Linked DNA regions of Schizosaccharomyces pombe. The protein of the gene in region 1 interacts with the protein of each later gene in a biochemical or structural test. Each region holds a gene or a part of one and is shown in the gene's direction. Other genes may lie near its edges.

The links. The genes of interacting proteins can lie anywhere in the genome.
Region 2: the proteins of cdc27 (region 1) and cdc1 form a complex in vitro, tested with the Schizosaccharomyces pombe proteins (3 studies listed by BioGRID).

The regions. Positions count from the first base shown.
Region 1 is NC_003423.3:1,059,649-1,067,346, reverse strand, and holds cdc27 (DNA polymerase delta subunit Cdc27), read left to right. Parts: upstream 1-3,922; 5' UTR 3,923-3,969; coding exon 3,970-4,023; intron 4,024-4,072; coding exon 4,073-4,128; intron 4,129-4,184; coding exon 4,185-4,351; exon of another isoform or gene 4,352-4,405; coding exon 4,406-4,473; exon of another isoform or gene 4,474-4,529; coding exon 4,530-4,637; exon of another isoform or gene 4,638-4,711; coding exon 4,712-5,377; 3' UTR 5,378-5,629; downstream 5,630-7,698. Other genes in the region: mannan polymerase I complex subunit Anp1, read right to left, coding at 1-255; fol1 (dihydropteroate synthase), read right to left, coding at 946-3,147; pre-rRNA processing protein Esf1, read left to right, coding at 5,777-7,698.
Region 2 is NC_003424.3:4,011,773-4,017,057, forward strand, and holds cdc1 (DNA polymerase delta small subunit Cdc1), read left to right. Parts: upstream 1-3,277; coding exon 3,278-4,418; exon of another isoform or gene 4,419-4,467; coding exon 4,468-4,715; 3' UTR 4,716-4,785; downstream 4,786-5,285. Other genes in the region: SPOM_SPAC27E2.14 (uncharacterized protein), read right to left, coding at 750-839, 891-905; msm1 (methionine--tRNA (Met) ligase), read right to left, coding at 4,806-5,285.

The DNA.
Region 1 (7,698 bases):
TACTTTTCGCAAGTCATATTCTTGCACATCAGAATTAGGAGCGTTCGCGGTAGAAGAAAAACTGGGAAATTCACCAAAAGAAGAGAAGAATGAACGATGGAAGAATAAAAATAAGACCAGTGTTAAAGCAATTATCCCAACAGTTCGAATGGTTTTCTGTCGGAATATGGGATTTCCGCTGGATTTAGGCTGGAATCGATTCGGCGTAATACTAAAAGGGCCACCATCTCTTCCAAAGTCTCTATTTGCTTTCATTGTGGAAGAGATTAACAATAAATAGCTTTATAAAGCAGTAGTGGCTACTTTACCAAAGGTACGGGGTTGGTTTAGTTTAAAGTGGTTGGTAGTATATAAATATAACGAACGCGAAGGCTAAGCAAAAATACCAAAATCAAGAATTTTAGAAAAAATTGGAGACTGTGAATTTAAAGAATTAATTTAAGCTTATTAATACTTAAACAGTACTGTTTTTACCAATGCACGAAAAATAAAAAAGGCACGTGCCAGGTTTTTAAGCAAGCCGCGTTCCAATGTCTATCTTCTAAAAAAAAGTAAAAGCAGGAACATTTTTGGTACAACTATTCATTATATCTAAAAAATTTACAATTGCATCTGCAAGTGCGTGTATAATTGCCACAGTTATTTTCTCTTCTCTTACAAACATAATCCTCGTTAACTAAAATTACAATATGTGATGATATAATGAAACTAATTTTATTCAACCTGTGAATATTAGATATCCAATTCAAAATTAAATTGTTAACAATATCCGTGAACATTGTCAGAAAATGATACTACATTGGTTATTGATAAATTCTCGGGTCTACAACGACGAAAGATAACCCGTTGGATTTGATTTATTAAACATAACCAACTTCTTACGTTAACTGTTGTTTTACAAAGTTTTCAAAATTATATTAAACTTGGAATTTTAGAACAAAGCAATTAAGGTACGTAACGTATAGCATTAGCCATACCAACGACTTTAGACATTTCTTTAGTGTCATGTACACGTACAATACTTACTCCTTGTAAAACACTAGCTGTAACACAAGCTGAAGTACCCCATATACGGTCTTTGGGGCTAGCGTCTCCAGTAAAGTAACCAGTAAACCCTTTACGGCTTGGACCCGAAAGCCAATGCATATCTTTAAACTGCGGTTTTTTCATCAGTTCATGAAGTCTTCCTAATAAACCGGCACTTTGTTTAGGTGTTTTTGCAAATCCAAAGCCAGGATCCAGTATAATATTGTATCGATGAACGCCGGACTGAACCGCAGCTTCCACGCGAGACGACAACTCGACAGCAACTTCTTCAACGATATCTTTTTCATATATTGAAAGTGCTTTCATAGTTTCTGGTGTCCCTCTCATATGCATAATACAAATGGGCACCTGTAAACTTGCAGCTAATGGTAACATTTTCTCATCACCCATCCCTCCAGTCACATCATTAATAATATTAGCACCTGCCTCAATGGCTAGTTTTGCAACTTTTGAATAATAAGTATCGATACTGATGGGTACTGTAATCCCTGAGCTTCGAAGTAAACTAATCATAGGTATTACTCTTCTGAGTTCTTCCTCAACAGACACGGGATCAGCTCCAGGTTTAGTAGACTGCCCACCTATATCTAGGATAGAAGCACCATCTCCAACCATACTTTTTGCTTTTTCAAGGATATTATTCTGCGAGACTTTACCACCATCAGAAAACGAGTCGGGGGTCACGTTCAAAATTCCCATTGTTAAGGCGCCATTAATGATTTTTTTGTTGTCAAAAGATGAGTACAATCTTATTCCTTGTGAAGGCAATTTATCAAGAGCTTCTTGTAAGGGCTGATGGGTATAAGGGTGTACTAAGTCTGGGCTCAAGGCCAGCAATGGACGTAAAACAAACTCACGTTCTTGCAGCCCTAAATGGGGAATAGTCAAAACTTCTGATTCATAAACACAATCTTCGTACAAGACAATATCGAGATCTATACACCTTGGTCCTTTTAAAATTGTTTTGATTCGACCCATTTCTTGTTCAATGGATTGACAAGCTCTTAAAAGATTGATAGGCGACATTCTGGTTTCAATTTTGCAAACACCGTTCAAAAAAGAAGGTTGGTCTTTATAATACATCGGCTCTGTTTCGTACAAAGGGGAAACATCCAACACACGAATACCCTCTATTTTATGCAACATAGATAATGCTGTTTGGATTTGCTCAAATTTGTCACCAATATTTGAACCAAAAGACAAATAAGCAATTTTGTTCTTAGTGGATTCGTATTTATGCAGAGACTCTTGTAAAAAGTACGACCGTGTTCGATAAATTTGCACCGCAGAAGCATTGGCGAATGTGATAGCACTAGGTTTCTCAGCTTTAATGCTTATATCGTCTAGATTCTTTGTAAAACAAAGATACTTTGAAAGATTGACAACCAAAGCTTCTATAGTCAGGAAAGCAGATTGTTCGACATATTCGGCGATTGCGCGCGCGATCTCTAAAGCTTCGACCTCCGTATTTGCAAATGATATATTTAAGCAAACTCTTTGCTTCTCTTGTCGTTCAAATGCGTGAATTCCTAATATCGTAGCTAACTCCAAATCCGAGAATTCAATACGATCTACAAAGTTACTGGTAGAATTGCGTTCGCGCTCAGCATAATAGTGCAATCCATTTTTAGACCTTAAAACACATTTGGGTAAAGTAAGCTTAATAGAAACATGCGAGGTATCAATAACGTCTTCAAAACATAAACTTGCAATTTTATTGACCAAATCTTTAGGGGTTGTAAAAAAAGACCCTTCAATTTCTTTTCGTAATAGCTTAGAAGCTATACCGTAATGAATCGTTGATTTTAACTCGTCTTTTTCTCCAGCTAACTGAACATTGTTTCTCATATATACATCAATTTGCACTGGCTGAGGTTCCTTTCTTTTCCATTGGTCTTGACCCACTACAGCAAATGTGTTAAGATTTTCAACTACGACAGTGTCATGTATCAAGTCCATTTGTCTAGTAGGATGTCGTAGAGATGAGAAGCGGAGTTGTCTGGGGATAGTGCTGACTATTCTAGGTATTTTGGCAAAACCATGGAGAGAATTATTTCTAATGAATGGATAGATTCCCCAAAGGTTTACTAAACTTTTCATGAGAGTTTAAAGAATTGATTATCTATATTGGAAGTATTTGCTGAAGCGACCAACACCATGATAAGTAAGAATAAGCAATACCTACGGTATCCTGATGTCAATTATCTAAAATGAAGGCATATGGGATAAAGAATTGTAGCATTATTTGACTGTTATTAAATTTAATTCATTATTGAATACAGCTGGGAATATGTATATACTCTGATCATTTCTATGGAGCATAGAGCGATACTGAGAAATAATATTATAAGAGATTTGTCAGATGACTACATTAATGTGCTACAAATCATTATACCCGAAAATAGAAATAAGGGAGAATCAAGTTTGATTAAATATAAAACATTCCAACAACTTTGTGAAACTCAACCTTACGCTATCAGCTTAAAAGCAGAAGGAAATTAGTAGAGAAAAAAAATCAAATTGCCATGTTCAAAATTAATAAAATTTGAAAAACATTCTACTAAAAAATGCCGTAAATTACTAAATCAATTTCTGTCAGCGTTGATGAAGTAACTTCCCATTCAATTTTAAATCTTTCATTAGCATACTTCTATGAACTGGATAGCAGCAGTAATTGAACATGCGATGTCAATATTTAGATTTTAAATATTTTACATATTGTAAATGTAGTTAAGCATGTATACTCCATTAATGAAAATGTAATCTTTCATACATATTTCGTCTGCGCTGGCTTCAGTACTTAGCCTACCTTAGGATTGTTCCCACTAATTTTCAATTTCGTTGATTTTACACACTGCTTCTTATTCTCGTAAATACCACTTTCCTAAGGAATACTTAGCGGAAAAAGAAATTTCTAAAAAAATGGAGGAATGGAGAAACTTCTTAGATATTAAAGTTATCAATGAATCTTCACTTGTAAGATATGAAATTTCAACAAGAATTTGAATGTCTAACTGTATAAAAGGTAACTGTAGATAATTTAAGTCTGCAATTGGATATATCCAGTGAAAAAGCACAAGAGTAAGGAACAATACGCATTATTTTTTATTTTTATTATTAATAATTCATACTTTCAGATATCTTAATATGTTTTATCAAGGCAACGATTTTTTGTATCCTATATACCTTATTCATGGACAACCTATAGATGATGAAATTAATTTGGAAATTGACGAGGAATCTCAACCTATATCTAATTTTCCTGTTTTGCAATACATTTTGTGTGATAAGTCTTCTCTACAAGGTTTGTTATTGTCAATTCCGATCATTCGATAGCAGATTCGCTAACTATTTGTAGAGAAACAAAGTAGATTGAAAAGTGGGTATAAAACTGTTATATTTGCTCTTTCATCTGCTCCATTAAGTGTAAGTATTCGATAAGCTGTATTTTATATTGTTACAAACTAATTGATTTAATTAAGGATTTTGACGAATTATTACCTGCAGTATATGAAATAAGAGAGAAAGATGTTTTATACAAAAAAGAAGATGCTGATAAGTATGGATTTATTTTCAATGAAAATTCCGTGGTAAGTAATTTATATCACAACAATCGTTGTTTGACATTCGATCCTTCCGTCTTCGGAAGACTAACTTATTGTAGCCTCGTGTTTTGAAAAAGGCACCTTCAACTCATTCCCCCCAATTATCTGTTCCCTCAAAGACATCGACAATCGATAAGACTGACACACGTAGTACAGAAAAGACTAAAGGGAAAGATATTTTCAGTAATGCAAGGAACCAAAAGGGAAACTCATCTCGTAAAAATAAAAAAGCTCCTCTTGAAAATCATAAAGAAAAGGAGCCTCTCTTGCCAAAGGAGGAGAAGTTGTCTGAGCAAGCAAAGAGAGAGCGCGATGATCTGAAAAATATTATGCAGCTAGAAGATGAATCAGTATCTACCACTAGCGTTCACGATTCTGAAGATGATAATTTAGATTCTAATAATTTCCAATTGGAAATTGGTACCGAAGCAAAATCTGCTGCACCTGACGAACCTCAGGAAATTATCAAATCCGTATCCGGTGGAAAGAGACGTGGGAAAAGAAAAGTTAAAAAGTACGCGACAACGAAAGATGAAGAAGGATTCTTGGTTACTAAGGAAGAAGAAGTCTGGGAATCATTTTCTGAAGATGAAAACATCTCAACTGGTACTTCAAATGTTGTTAGAAACAAACCGACTACTGTAAACATTGCAACTAAGAAGAAGAATACTGCACAAAGTAAACCACAACAAAAGTCTATTATGTCCTTTTTTGGAAAGAAATAAGTTACTATTCATTTTCGATAGTATTAAAACATGTGTTCACGAAGTCCCTTCAATTCTCATGCAAGCTATTATCAGGAGTTTTATTCATATAGAAAAACTGTTAATGTTAGTACAACCTTTAATCCTAATCTACTGTTTTTAGTTTTGTTTACACTATTCACAACCAACTATGTAAGTCTAAGAGAAGTCGAAATCAATTATCAATACATCTTTTAATTTTAAATATCATAAATAAATATGTTTCCTCAAAGCATAGAAGAATCGATTCTTTTTTTTATTAGAAGTATTAAATACTCCATACATTAATGAACCACAATGCGTTAATGTGCGTTAACTACAACACATAATTTGAAAGTTGAACTTCATATTTAGTCAAAGCCTTGTATATTGGAAGTAGTCATGGGCAAAAAGCAGACGAAGCCTATTAATGCTAAATCAAGGAGTGAAAGCAACGTAGTTGCGGATCCTAGATTTCAATCAGTTCACTCTGATCCTAGATTTTCTAGACTTAAACGTGGCAATTTTAAAGTAAAAGTTGATGAGCGGTTTAAATCTCTCAAGGAGGATAAGGACTTTAAAACTACTGCCAGTGTTGATCGATATGGCCGTCCTCTCAACCAAGATAAGGCTACTAAAGAGATTGATAGACTGTATGAACTGGAAAATGAAGGGTCGTCCAGTTCGTCTGAATCATCGGAAATTACTGACAACGAAGAAGTCGCTTCAGCGTCTTCGAAATCCACAAAATCGGAAGAATTAACCGATGAGGAGTCCGAAGATGAGGAAGTATATGATCCAGCTCGTGGTGAGGGAATTATTAGTACTTCGGAAAGTAGCGATGAAAGCGACGCTGAAAGTGAAACTGAAGCTCAACCGGAGATATCCGAATTAGCTGGAATCGAGCCAGAAGAGAATATTCCTCGTGGTTCAGAAACTAACCGTCTTGCTGTAGTAAACATGGATTGGGATAATCTTCAAGCAGTTGATCTTTTTGTTGCTCTTTCTTCTTTTTGTCCTCCTGGTGGGAAGTTACTGAAAGTGTCGATTTATCCCAGTGAATTTGGAAAATCCAGAATGGCTGCGGAACATGTTCAGGGTCCTCCACGTGATATATTTACTCCAGCTGACAATCAACCTTCTAGCGCCGAATTGCATGAGGCTCAAAAATTTGGTTTTGATAACAATGAGTCTGATCAAGATGAGGAAGATGCTTTAATAGAGGAGGATTTAGGCAACGAGTTTGATATGGTAAAATTACGCCAGTATCAATTAGAAAGGCTTCGTTACTATTACGCAGTAGTGGAATGTGATAGTGTAAGAACGGCAAAGGTTATATACGAAACTTGTGATGGCGCTGAGTATGAAACTAGCGCTAATATTTACGATTTAAGATTCATTCCAGATGATGTTACATTTGACGACGATGAATCTCGCGAAGTATGTACTAAAGCGCCCGAAAAATATGAGCCGAGAGATTTTGTCACCGATGCATTGCAACATTCAAAAGTTAAACTTTCGTGGGATGCTGAGGATCCACACAGAAAGGATTTAATTAAAAAGGCTTTTACTTCTCAGGATATTGAAGATTTAGACTTTAGCGCTTACATTGCCTCAAGTGAATCTGAAGATGAGGATGTAGATGTTATTCGTTCTCGTTACCAAAAGTTATTAAGTGGTGATGCTGATGACTTCCAAGCGAATAGTAACCCTTTTGAGGATGATGACAAACTTGAAGGCGCCAATGGTGAGATGGAGGTTACTTTTACTTCAGGTTTTGATGTTGATAACAATGCGAACTCTTCGGAAAAAGATGAAACCACTATTGAAAAATACAAGCGTAAGGCCGCTGAAAGAAAACAAAGACGGAAAGAATTGAGACAGCTTAAGAAAACAAAAGACGATGAAGGTGAAGGATCCGACGTTGATCTTGGTTTTGATGATCCATTCTTTAAGGACAAGGATGCTAGTCGTAACAATAAGAAAAACAAAAAGGGCAAGCATACTCAAATTGAAGATCCTACGGCCGCGTCTAAAGAAGAACTGGAAAACCTTGTTCGTGAAGATGAAAACGATTCTGAGCAGCTCGATCATTTTGACATGAAGAGTATACTGAAGGCTGAAAAGTTTAAGAAGAATCGCAAGCTTAAGAAAAAAGCCTCCAATTTGGAAGGCTTGCAGGAAGGATTCGAAGCTGATGTCAGTGACCCACGTTTTGCTGCTCTATATACTAACCATAATTTTGCACTTGATCCAACAAATCCTCATTTCAAACGTACTAAAACGGTGGAAAAAATTATGGACGAAAGTCGTAAAAGACGCTC
Region 2 (5,285 bases), on another chromosome or scaffold:
TTCTTTCTTTTTCGCTTGACGAAACTTGTGTGTGTGTAAACGAGCTCGGTTTCATCGACCCAGCTGAAAACTGGCTACTTTTTTAGGGTACATTATTACATACAAAAGTTTCTTGCTTTCTTTTCTTTTTAACACATAATACCGAACTTGCAAATAGCTACTAGCGAGACCGTTATACGGCCAGTCAAGTCAACGCAAATGCTCATCATATACACGTAAAATATCATCAATTGGTTTGAGCCCAACGCAATAATGACTGCGAATGTTTGCTGTTAGATAGAACATTCCTTTTACTTTTTTTTTACTTTTACGGAAAAAGTATGTAGAAAGGCAAAGAAGGAGTTCTTTACACTCACTCGCAAAATTCCAATTCCACTTTCAATTGCAAAAAAAAATGCAATCCACAATTAAACAACCTCTAAGGAGAATACAGAAATCATCGCTTCCCACCTAATATATCTCACAGCGCATCCTAACGAATACAGTACCAAATTCAATAAAAAGACAACTAAAGAACGAGGATCAAATACGGTACTGCGCTACATCTCATAGCCGAGGTATTCTAAATAGATGCCAGTTAAGGTAAAATAAGCTTCCAAAAATGCAACTTAAAAAAGAATAGATTGTTGAAATGAAAAGTATACTTCTACAAAAAGGATGTTGGGAATAATTCTGTCATACCATACCGTGAATGTCGCAGAATGTTTCAATTTCAGTAGCACTGGCATTTTATCTTTTCTGACTTATTTTCAGTCCGGCTGTTCCCTTCTCTTTTGGTGTCCCTGTTGTCTTGGACAATTTGTCACCCCAAGGACCCTTGTACTTGGTTGTTTAAACAACTAGCTCGTTAGATTGGAATTTGCTTTTCGGGAATTCTGGGACTTGCTTACTCTCCGTAACCTCATTTCTTTTCTCCTGTCTCTTGCATTTCACACACCAATCCAAACAAGTTCAGCGTGAGGACTGCTTTAACATCCGTGATCGAGCCTAGACGGTTGTCCCAATGTTTAACAAGGAGCTCGATGTACTTTTTTATTTGGTCCGTTGACTTTCCGCAAACATGCAGTGAGAGAATACGGAAGTGAAGAGAATTTCGGTAATGTATCGCACGCACATATAGGAACAAGAACAATTCATATCCATCTATGTCTCTTCCGGTTTATCTGAATGATTTGTTGCTTTCTATTAATTCGTTAACCAAGCAACCACGAGGCCCCATCATTCTGCCAAATTGACTTTCACAATCATTGCACAACTATTGCTTCAAGCTCCCTACAAGGTATCCAGTGAGTATCAATATTTTAGCAGCATCGATTTGTTACTTACTGTTTGGAAAAAAATCGGGGCAGATGAGCACAAACAAAAAGCAACAAAACTCTGAAATTTTTATATAAAACATGGATTCTCAAACTCCGATCCCACAAAATCCCTCTACTGCTTTAGTTTAACCTCAGGGGAAGCGGAAACCGACAACTGTCCGCAGAACCGTTATTGGCTCGTTTGTTCCAAACTCTAGCAGTGCGAAAGTGAAATTTTTACAGTATGCAGGCAGGTCCTTCTTGCAAGACACTATAAAGTAAAAGTTTTTTAAACAATTCGACATTCCGGCGAATGTGAAAATGTAACTGTGTGAAATGTTGACTATACAAGTGCATTAAGCAAAAGATCTCATCGTAATTTTCGATCTTCAATTTATCAAACTTTCAACCGTTTTTAAACCGTATGACCTTTTAATACGTAAACAGTTTCTCATTTTTTTTATGTTTTACTGCATTAATCACACACAATAAGATTTTATTTCCATTTCATTCAAGTTGCCAAGTTATTTCTATTTAGTATATTAACAACTAAAACACAACTGGCTGGCTATGCAAGTAATTATTATTCTCTAACATAGAGATTCTTATTTTTTTTGGTACACAAGTTTATGAGTCGTTAAAACCTTTTTAAATCGTGCAACATTGATTCATCTCAGTATACTCGATTATCCCTGTGTTCGATATCCCGCAGCTGTAGCCGATACTGAATGTTAACAGTCCACAGTCTATTTATAGCTAGCTCTCTGATATCGGACAACAGGCAATACCGCTTCATTGACCTCTCGTGACAAGCGGCTTTTTTATAAAGGATGTATTGATATCTTTGAAGAAGAAGAAAATCGGCAAGTTTTTCATTTTACTTTAAACATTTGAATTTGGTTTTGCTATTCTTGCTTTTCCTTCTACAATACTTTTCCATATGGGGTAATAGTGTGACCGATCAACATTGCGTTATTTAATATTCAGATTTCAACGGAATAAAATAAAACCTCAATTTAAATTAATGTAGTTTTGATATACATCTTTAATAAGTAATATAGTAAGATACAGAAATCACCTTAACCATTTCTAGGGCACTATGTTGGCCTACCTTTCCTCCTATTAATTAACATAATGTTATTAATTTACAATCATCAAATAAATCGAAAACCCACTTTTTATGCTATAGGAAAGGGTTTGTAGTTCATTTACTTCGTTGGGGAATTTGCTTCTTTTACTTTTGTGTGATAAAACTCGATAGACTAAATATATGGATTCATCATGATTGTTCAAGGTTGAGAAAAATGTTAATTGTATGAAACGAAATAAACCCACATGATGTTTGTTCATCCTCAATTAGTAAACATTCACCTTTATTGAGCTTCTTTCTCTTTTCGTCAAGTTTACCTCTTTGTTTACATTTAAAAAAAGATGTTCTTCAAACACTTTATTGTTGTAGGTAACAACAGCTAGTCATGTTAGGAACCACGACTTTCTCATATACAACGTATTCTTACTTGTTGATCTGCTGCATCCAACTCCTTTGCTTATTCGAACCTTCTAAACCTGGTTCCATTCCATGAAATTGATTCCCCTTAACCTTGCATAGCACACCTTTGAAGTTCCTTACTCTTTACATATGCTGCTTGTGTAAATTAGTCAATAACATTTAAAGAACTGATTTTATTGAAAAAACAACAAAAGCGTTATTATATTTATTCCTCTTTTTTTTAAACAGGTGTTTTGGGGCCGTTCATAGGTTTTTTGGGAAATCATATAAATATATATATATATATATATATATTTTTTTCCGCACATTTACTTGCAATACTCGCTCGTTTTAGTAATTGCATGAATCGTAGACAACTCTTCACTCTCCATTGTTGTGAAATTTTTCGTGGAGCATCTCGATTTAATATCCTGACTACTCCTTTGGTAAGTGTTTAACTTACCTAACTGTATATATTTACAAAATAATCATGGTTGAAGTCAGACATTCAATTCCTTGTGAAGAAACTAAACGCTTGGAGCTTAGTTTAAGTCAGCAAACGTATAGTCAACAGTACGCCAGCATCTATTTCGCCCGACTTACCGCTCTTCGACCCAGAATCACAGAAGCCGCTTCAAAAAAATGGCCGGATAAACAGCGATTGGAACGCGTTTTAGATGTTAAGTCAGATGAAGACTGTTGGGTTGTCGCTACCGCTTATATGACTACAGCTCTTAAGCCAAACGTTATGAACGATGTCACACAACTTCATACAATTGTCACCACTACTGAAGAATCTCCGTATGTTAGCCCAGAAGATGCTGCTTCAGGTGATATAGAATATGCTCTTGAGGATGACTATGGCCGTATAGATTGTAGCGGAAGCTTTTTGTATGACGCTGGCGTTGTTACAGGAGTTGTTCTTGCAGTTTTGGGCCATGAAGATGAACAAGGTCGTTTCGTTGTCGTTGACGTTTGTTTTCCAGGCATCTTCTCTCATTCCATTCCAATGACTACAGATGAATCGCAAGCTCAACCAGAGTACATTGCGGCAGTCAGTGGCTTAGGTCTCTCAAATGACGGCATAGAAGGCATTCAAGTTCATCAGCTTGTAGATTTCCTAAGAGGAACACTTCCACATGTCTCTTCCTTTTCCCCTTCCTCCATCAAAAGGCTAATTATTCTCGGAAATTGCTTAGCACCTTCTATAGAAATTGCCGACTCCGCTTCTGCGTCCGTGCCCATTGGCAAGAAAAAAGTAAAAAGATATGGCTATGACACGTCTGCTTACAATCCAAATCCCACCTTCCAACTAGATAATTTTCTTGATCAAGTGTGTTCCAGCATAGATGTCACTTTAATGCCTGGTCCTTATGATTACAGTTCAACTATCCTTCCTCAACAGCCTTTGCATCCCGCTTTACTTACTAAATCAAAAGTTTGGTTGGGATCTTCTTTACAAACAGTTACGAATCCCACTTGGCTTTCTCTTGGCAATCATTTTGTGTTGGCTACTAGCGGCCAAAACATTAATGATCTCCGAAAATATCATCCCAAAAAATCTTCACTTCAATGCATGGAAAACACTTTACTATGGAATCATATCACACCTACCAGCCCTGATACCTTATGTAAGTAATCTGTACATTTTTCAAACGATATATTTGCTAATGATTTTAGGGTGCTATCCTTTCACCGACAAAGATACATTTGTAATGGAGGAAATGCCTGATCTATATCTTTGTGGTAATCAACCGAAATTTGGCTGCAAAACAGTCATTAATGAGGGAAACAGAATACAATTGGTTTCCGTTCCCGAATTTCGTAAGACTGGTGTACTTGTTCTCATAAATATGCATACGCTCAACGTAGAAATTATTCAATTCCGCCCCATGTCAGTCAAAGCAGAGACTCCAATTACTTCTTAATGCAAAATATCTTGAATATTTAATCATGTATTTATTAAATAAATAAGTTTTTTCTTACTGTTGTCATCATAATTATCTGATCTACACGTCTCATTGAGTTCTTTTGTCAAACAAATGAGAATTATTACCACTGTGGAACGTGAACTCCGTAGGTTCAAAAACGTTAGTTGCATTCTGTAGGGAGCGCTGGTTTTTAGGAATTCCTAATTGGTCTAATAACTCAGTCGACTTGGTTGGCATTATAGGTTGTAGGAGAATTCCGCTAATGCGTAGGCTGTGAGCTACTAACATTAAAGTGTCAATCTTTTCTTGAGAATCATCTGATAATTTCCAAGGTTCTTTCAATTGAAAAAGCTTAGTGACTCTTCTTAAAACAGACTGAACAAGATTAATAACCTCGTAAACACACCCACCATCTATGCTTTGCGCGCAAACAACAGGAAGTTCTATAAGTTCGTGTACAATATCTTCGTATTCTGTAAAATCATCCTTTTTATGCCATTGCTTCTGTATTTCATTGGAAATGAACAGTTTCTTCGATTGCAATCGAGAAAGTAGCACACCTAAAGA